Linked DNA regions of Caenorhabditis elegans. The protein of the gene in region 1 interacts with the protein of each later gene in a pairwise test. Each region holds a gene or a part of one and is shown on either strand. Other genes may lie near its edges. The genes, in order: idpb-2 and Y73F8A.5.

Region 1 (3,499 bases):
TACTGGAGCACAAGGATGGAGTTGTCATGGTAACCAGAAGCTAGTGTTTCAATGGGAAAGAAATGGGCGAGACTCTGGGAATGAAGAATGAGTGTTGCGACATTATTTCTAAATGGGACTAGGAATTAAAAATTGATGATTCTTGAACCGAAATTGAAAATAGAAACCTAATGTAAAATAGGGGAAAAGGGAAATATGCCATTTCTTCCAATGTAGAATAATTTTACCACACAAGCTCCCGGTTACTTTCAGGTTCTCTAGAATGAGACGAGTTATTGAAAAGTTAGTAACAAGTTTAAGCTTCTCAGATCAATCAAGAAAATTTCACTACTACAAGCAACAATTTCTGATGAGTTTTCTGATCTAATTCTGAGGATTTTTCAGCGTTTCTCAAACCAGGCATACTTTGGGGGCCGGTAAATTCCAAGGCTTTGTATGGACAACAACGTTGTTGAACTTTGTCTCTACTCGTTTTTTATCTAATTCTATGTATATAACATTTTTTTGGTATTTGCGTTAATCAAGAGAGAATCAACTATTTATTTCTCTGAAGTGAGAATCACAGAATTCAAATTAAATTAATTAAATTAGTTTAACAAACGCATCGCTCAGTTGATCACGTCTTTCTTCTCTTCAACCGTAGCATCATTGACAGGAGCCAATGCGTTCATAACTGAAGCTTCTACAGCGGATCCCTTCACGACTTTGGCGATTCCTTCGATTTTGTTAGCCAAAGCAATACGGAGATTCTGAAGAGAACGACGTTTACGTCCTCCACCTCCGCATCCACAACATCCACATCCACATCCACATCCACAACAACATGGACGGCAGCAAGTACAACATCTTGTACAACAGCAAGTACGGCAACATGTACAGCAACGGCGGCAACAGCAGCAGCATCTGAAAATTTTAAATTTTAAATTACAACGGCAGATGTGCCTAAAAGATACTGTTCTTTTAAGAAAGATGTTGCTACACTAAAATTTGAACTAAAATTTGCTACATCATTCTGAAAATGCTGAAGATGCAGACGAGTCTGAAAACGTAACGACAAAGTTTAAAACTTTGAGATTTAAAGGATTAAAGATCTTTCAAATAGTGAATGTAACATTTCTGGAATTATCAATTAAAAAAGTAGAAGTGTCGAATTCTGAACTTACTTTGGTCTACAACAGCAACATCCGCATCCTCCTCCACCTCCTCCACCACATCCGCAGCATCCGCATCCGCATCCACAGCAACCACATCCTCCTTGTCTTTTAACTCTGGATGATCCTAATGTATCAATTGATGTTTCAGATGATGAAGTGGTTGAAGCAGATGATGTTATTAATGCTACTTCTTTTGAGGACACTGGTAGTACTGCTGATTGAACCTGCAAGGATCTTCGAATTCTACACAAGTCCCCTGAAACGTTGATACCTGAGAAATTGCGATTATTGCCAGAATGGCGAAGGTGGAGCAGACGAGCTTGTTCATGTTAAGTTCGAGTGTATCATTGAACCATTCATGCTTTCTTTTATATCACTCAAATATTTACGTAAGTATGCCTGCGGTTGCGCGGTGCGTAGTGCATTTGACACTTTTCCGGAAGCAAAACTCAACCCTTCCGTATACCCTCGAGAAATCGCGTTGGACTTTGAGGTTTATGGTACAATCACAGAAAAAAAGAAGAGGTAATCGTAATAAGATAGATAGAGAAACGGAAAATTGAGATAATATAATAAATTAATGAATGACTGGAGTAGCTTGATGAGTTGATAGATGACTCTGTAGATCGTTTTTTCGTGCAAAGCTAGCATCACACCGATGGCAGGCATATGGTCGAGTATGAGTTCTGACATGAGCATTCAGAGCCTGAAAGAGCATAGACTTGAATAGACTTGAAGGGTGTTTTTGGCTTGAAAAATCAATATTAATGAAACCAATAATTCTCAAACATTTATAACGTTTGGTAATCTAGTGGCAATCTAGAGCTGCATCTTCAAGTTAAAAGAGTTCAAAGGTTCCTTTGAATCTTGCTACGTTTTTTGAAAGGTTTTTACCACTGATACAAAATCTCGTCTCGACACGTCCGATGGATGACGGAGTACTGTAGCTCCTATGTAAACGAACGGAAAACATTGAAACAACAATGAAGAAATGTGGACTACAGTACTCCATAAATCTAATTTTTTTAAATTTTAAATTCGAGCGCGTGGTCCTGCCTTCAATAAAAAGATTGAAATGACCACCTTTGTGCACTTGTATCCTGGATGAGTGCAATTCTCTACGGGACATTTATGCATCATCTGCATATGAACCATCTGAACATGCCTCCGAAGTCCACCTCGCCTTCCAAATTGTGTGTGACAGTACACACATTTCCAAACCCTCTGGTCTTGGGGACTGAAACGCCAGAGTATACATTTATAAACACAAAAGTTATAGCTAACAAATTAAATTCTTCAAAAATAGGCAAACCTGTGATAAATTGCCTTGTGCTCACAAAGCTGAAATGGGGTCCGCTCGTCGCTGTTGCATTCATCGCAAATGTACTGAAATATGAAGGAACTGATGGTGTTCAGGAAAAGAACATGATAGATACAATTGAAAAAAAGGTTCTCAAAGTAATTGCTAACAGAAGAATATACCAAAAAATGATAGAACAGGAGAAAGAGAGATAAGCTTCCGCTTACTGTTCCGCCAGCGGGGAGCAATCCATCGTATGTTGGAAACCTGACAGATGACCGTTGAGCTTTTGTGTAGACCTTCAATATATTTTTCATGAACATACACTGATAAAATATGTGTAAAACAATTGACTATTGGGATTACTGTAAGTTTGTAGTCTTTTGTTGAAAGTTTTCAATTTCAATAAATGTTTGTGAGTCTAATATTTAAATATAATATATCTTATTAAATTGAAATATTTACAAGAGCTAAACTCAGAGTAATCGATGGAAAAAGTATTACATACAATACTAATAGGGGATATACAATATCTTAGAACTGTCAGGAAAATTAGATTAATATTCATATATAGAATAGCTCATATCAAAACCTATCAGTTACCTTTTCTGATTGTTGATTGTTGTTCTCCACTTTGGAAGTGAAATCTGGTTTGTCCGATAAACAAATCTGAGCCATGAGAAGACTCTTGCGAACTTTGATTCTTTGAATACTCTGTTCAAGGTTTGAAGATTTCTTTCCAAAATCTATTTTGGGACTGCCAAATGACATAGTTGAGGTCATACCTGATGAAAAAGATTTAAAGATTTAATGATTATTGTCAGTAGAGGATTTGGAAAAGTAGTTCAACATGAAAATATAAGAAAAAAAACTCTCCAAAACTGTTAATTGTTAATACATTTTTTTCTGGCAAAGTTTCGGTCGATTTCCAAAGTTTTAGAAAAGTTCCGATTTCTAAAGATGACTTGATAATTGTTCTAGATCACTAGAATGATTTTGAACAATCTTACTGCAGATACTTTACCTTTAGAAGAACTTTCAAAAA
Region 2 (4,894 bases), on another chromosome or scaffold:
TTAAAAACTGCACCAGTGAAACAACACATTTCACGCAAAGTCATCGAAATAGCTCACGACATTCATAATTACTGAGGTTGCATGACTTTTAGGTTTTTTAATGAAAAAATTGGATTTTCACTTCAATGAAGCTTTTGAGATTTTTTCCAACTTTGCAAAAATTAAATGATTATTTTCAAATTCCCGCGCAATCTAATGGCCCAGTTTTGGCATTTTTTGTGTTGTCCGGTTAAATTCATTGCACTTTCTTCAATTTTCGCCTAACATTTTTCAATTTTTGTCTAACATAGAAAATGTTGGAATAACTTCACAATTTTTTAAAGATACTTTTTTCGGTCATTTAAAGTTAAATCCTCAAACAATTTTACTGCATCTTCAAATAATATTAAAAACAAAAGTTACAAATTTCGAAATATTCTAAAAATTGTCATTTTCTTGATACTTCGGGCAGAAACTTGTTTTTTTTCTCAAGTTTTTGAAAAAATGTTGAACAACCGGTTTTTATTTCAGTCCAACTGAAGTGAAATTAATTTTCAAAAAAAAACGATTTGAAAATCAGCGAAAATTTTCCACTGTTTCGCGTTGCTTATTTATTTCAGAATAAAGTATTAATTATTATTACCAATTCGTCATGTTTATGCATGTAATTTACATTCAAGGTCATTTAATTTTTTGAGAAAACAAGATCGCCGGTTTCACTATCCTCTTAATATCCAATACATCCTTCTCAAAGGGAACACAGAACTGACAAAATAATTATATTTTTCCTATACTAAAAAAAAACTTTAAAACAATTTTATCAGTCGAATGTTTCATTTTCAGCTTTTTTTTTCAAATTTGTACAATTTTGCATTCATTTTTGCAAAATTTTTTTTCCGCCCACAATTTCATTTGCACTGAAATGCGGCTTAAAAACAACGGAGTGTCGTTGCGTTGCGTTTATTTTTGTGCGATCGTATTTTTTCTATAATATGGCGCAGTGCAGTACTTATCAAAAACCCAAGGTAATTGTTGTATGCTGGAAAAAATTACATTTTAGGGCACTGTTTCATGTTTGGCATAAAAAAAACGTGTTTTTACATGTTGTGTCAAAAAAGAGTAGAAGGAATCAGGGGTGTCCGGCAAATCTCAAAATTTGTCGAGCTCGGCAAATTCGGCAATTTTTAGAAAAAAAAATTGAATCGACCGGTCTCTGTCTCTAACTAAAGTGCAATTAACGTTCAAAAAACTATTTGAAAATTAGCGAAAATTTTTTACTGTTTCACGTAGTTCATTTATTTTGTGAATAAAGTATTAATTATTATTCTCTCGCCGTGTGCTTCATGTCCCCCAATTTATGCATTTAATTTACATTCAAGGTCATTTAATTTTTTGAGAAAACAAAATCGCCGGTTTCACTATCCTCTTAATCAATCCAATACATCTTTCTCAAAATGAACACCCATCTGCCTTTAAATAATCCAAAATGCATTTGCATTCTCCTCGTGTCTCCTTCCCTTTCCGCCTCACGACATCCAATATCGATATTCTGTGGGAGAAGAGGAGATGCTGAAGGCGTGTGATGGAGCAGAGGGGGACAGAGAGGCGCAGAGAAAAGAGCACGTCTTCTGTTTCTCTAAACCTCCTCATCTCTATATTTTTCAACACAGAGCTTCTCCCTGTCTATATTCTCTTCTAAAAGCGGCTTTTTCGTTTTTCGGATAATTAAAATCGACTACTGGTCTTCCAAATTGAAAAATGTGGAATCGAATCCGATAGAAATATTCAAAATATACTATTTCTGCCGTTATTTTTCTACTGATCTCTTATCTTGCTAAGCCGATTTGAGCGCTGATATCATTATGCTTTGGTAAGATTTTTTTTGATTTTAACCTAAACACGCGAAAACTGAAATCTCAAAAAACACGAAGAGATATACTTTCAAAATGAAACAGAGAATTTTTGAAATAATTTTTTTTGAAGAAAAGCTCAAGGAAATATTAGAGAATGTGTACAATAAAAATGTTTAACGAAAAACTGAAAATTATATTTCAAATTTTACAAAATTATATCACCATGATTAGCACTAAAAATGCGCACGAAAGTTCGAGAACAATTCTTATTATTAACTACATAAACAAGAATTGCGTTCGAAAACAATATTATTTAAAAAATAAATGGACAGCTATACTTTCAACATGAAACAGATAAAATTTGAACTTTTTTTTGTTTTGAAAAAACTTAACTCATCAACCCTAACGAATAAAATTTGATTACGAACAACTATACTTTTAAATTGAAACAGAAAAAAAATAATTTAAAACACGTTTTTGTTTTTTTGAGTGGCATTTTAGTTTGTGTGGTTAAATATGGATTTTTACCATAGAAATAGTTTTTGGCACTTTTCAATGTTTTTGTTCTAAAAAAAACCAGTAATTAAATAACATCACTAATATGCTCATTTTCAAAAATATGTGGCTTTCCTGAAAATGCAACATCTTATATTTTTCGACAAGTTAAAAAAAACGAACGTAACCACTTATTGCTCAAAAATGTAATTTTCACCTTCAACATGAAACAGAAAAAATTTCAGAACAAAGTTTTTTTAAACAGATTTATTTGTTTTGGAAACATAGTAGTTTAATAAACATATCTAGTTTCTATGAAAGCTCTTAAAAATTGGTTGTCTTCTGAAAAAAAAAAATTAGAAAAAAATGTATGTTCAGTAACTAGAAAAAACCACATACCATCCAAAAATCATTTATTTTCCTACAAACTATATGACCATTGTGAAATCTGCGGAACAGTCGATCTAAAAGTTTCCGGAAAATTTTGAAATGAAAAGAACAGATCATTAAATGTCAAAAAATATGTAAAAGTTTTATTAACATATTGAAACAGTTGTTTCAGAAAATATGCCAATATTTTTTGTTTGAAATTATACAAAAAAAAAGCAATTTTTGAGGAGAATAATTCGAAAAGATCAAAATTTTTTGTCACAAAACGACTGCAATTCACAAGAAATTGAAAAATTTTTTCAAATTTTTCCAGCCAAAATTGAAAAAAATTAGTCAATTTTACAAAAATGTTGGGTTTTTGAAAATATAATTCGTCGAAAAAAGGCATCAAATTCAATACATATACGAATGGTATTTAGTATGTTCACCTACTATGTACTAAGAATTGTTAATAAAAGTCTTTTCTTAATTATATGCACATTGTGAAACAGAAATATTTTTTTGTAAAGTTGTGAAAAACAGAAGTTCACATTTTTAAACATTTCAATAATTGAGAGAGCTCTAATCCCAAAATTTTTTAAATAAAAATCAGGTCTTATTATTTTTGAAGCAGAAACCACAAAAAGTGCATTTTTCATTTGTTGACAAAAGAGCAACCTCGCTCTTATTGGAAAAGTAGATCTACTCGGATTTTTTTATTTTTTTTGATGAGAAAAAAGGGGTGTTTGAGCTTTTTTTCATAATTTCTGTTATTTTAAGCATGGTCAAAAACTATGGAACAAAGTATGCACATGAAAAGAAAATCTAGATATTTTGAAACAAACAAAGTTTTTACTGTTTCACAAAATACATAAATGTCAGTTTTTTTCTTGTTTAGCAGTTTAACAGTTAGTAAGCGGCACTAAATACCAAAAAAAAATTTCAGGTTTCATATCACAATTCTCCTCATCATTTCATCATTTATCTCCTTGATAGCTTCTCAACAAATTTGCACAGATCAAGATTACGAGTTCACGTACACAAACTGTGATGAAAATGGAGAACGGTGGAGAGTTGCGGTGCCACGTGGCGGAATGCAATGCTCCAATTTACCGACTCCGAGGAGAGGGTTGAATTGCTGTGAGTTTTGGGGTTACTAGTTGTTACGAAAGCACGAATGATATTAAAATTTGTTCCAGCATTTTCCTGTGAGCCGGGGCACTATCTCGATTTGGACAGTCAACATTGCCGACCGTGCAATCCTGGATTTTTCAGTCTTGGCGGTGGAATCAGATACGAGGAATTCGTAACTCTGCCCAGTGGGTTTTCAGTAGACAATATGGATTCAAATCCAGATGCACAGTTTTCAAATCGACAGAGCCAGGTGGTCGAGTGTCCTAAAGAGTGAGTTTTTGACATTTGTTGTGCAGCAGACAGCTAACGGGCGCCTCATCAAACAACCTATCGAATAAATTTATTTTTTCTTTAAAATTTCTCTACAACCTGAAACATTTGAATTTTTGCAGAGCCGGTTGGGTTGTCAAGGACGGTGAGCTGATCTACATTCCAACACCGTGTGTGTCAAAACTCTCGTTTTCCGCGAATCTTGTTCGACCTGGATCCGTGGAGTTTACATATAGGTGAGAGGGATTTCGATTTTGCTCATGAAAGGAGAAGCCGCAATAGAGAGCATATACGTTTGGATTAAATTCAAAATGTGAAACAGTTAAAAATTTTGCTGTTTGGCAAAAAAAAAACTCGGCAACGCCCATGAAAATATTTTTTCGTAAAATTTTGATTTTACGAAATATCAACTCATGTTTCACTTTCTTCATAAAAGCCAACCAAAAAATATAAAAGTGATAAGAAGTGATACTTTTTCTTTGTGAATCCAAAAAACTTTCAGAATGCCCCGTAACAACCGAGCACTTTCCATGCAAGTTGACATTCGAAATGAGCAATGTCAGAGTTACAATGACGTTGCCAAGTCAATGTTTTTGAAGTATACGAAAAAAGAAAAAGATGAGGAGGAGAAGAACGGGGACTGGCGGAAACGGAGGATTGAGTTGAAGAGTGGAGCCAATGTAATTTCATGGATTATACAGAATAATATGGGGTATCAAGCATCTAATCAACCAATTCATATCGATCGAATTGATGTTCTTGGATTGGCTTTTACTAGACAATGCACCGCCTGT

Evidence for each region.
Region 2: the proteins of idpb-2 (region 1) and Y73F8A.5 interact in a two-hybrid assay, tested with the Caenorhabditis elegans proteins (one large-scale study listed by BioGRID).

The regions. Positions count from the first base shown.
Region 1 is NC_003280.10:5,068,127-5,071,625, forward strand, and holds idpb-2 (Intrinsically Disordered Protein, class B), read right to left. Parts: upstream 1,500-3,499; 5' UTR 1,483-1,499; coding exon 1,426-1,482; exon of another isoform or gene 1,379-1,425; coding exon 1,164-1,378; intron 904-1,163; coding exon 609-903; 3' UTR 522-608; downstream 1-521. Other genes in the region: C27A2.7 (C2H2-type domain-containing protein), read right to left, coding at 1,732-1,860, 2,238-2,391, 2,467-2,540, 2,682-2,753, 3,058-3,237.
Region 2 is NC_003282.8:15,258,215-15,263,108, forward strand, and holds the start of Y73F8A.5 (uncharacterized protein), read left to right. Parts: upstream 1-1,653; 5' UTR 1,654-1,841; coding exon 1,842-1,849; intron 1,850-1,866; exon of another isoform or gene 1,867-1,887; intron 1,888-2,114; exon of another isoform or gene 2,115-2,141; intron 2,142-2,216; exon of another isoform or gene 2,217-2,241; intron 2,242-2,493; exon of another isoform or gene 2,494-2,514; intron 2,515-2,812; exon of another isoform or gene 2,813-2,833; intron 2,834-3,141; exon of another isoform or gene 3,142-3,162; intron 3,163-3,597; exon of another isoform or gene 3,598-3,619; intron 3,620-3,642; coding exon 3,643-3,836; intron 3,837-3,895; coding exon 3,896-4,100; intron 4,101-4,139; exon of another isoform or gene 4,140-4,165; intron 4,166-4,222; coding exon 4,223-4,336; intron 4,337-4,354; exon of another isoform or gene 4,355-4,378; intron 4,379-4,559; exon of another isoform or gene 4,560-4,580; intron 4,581-4,602; coding exon 4,603-4,894.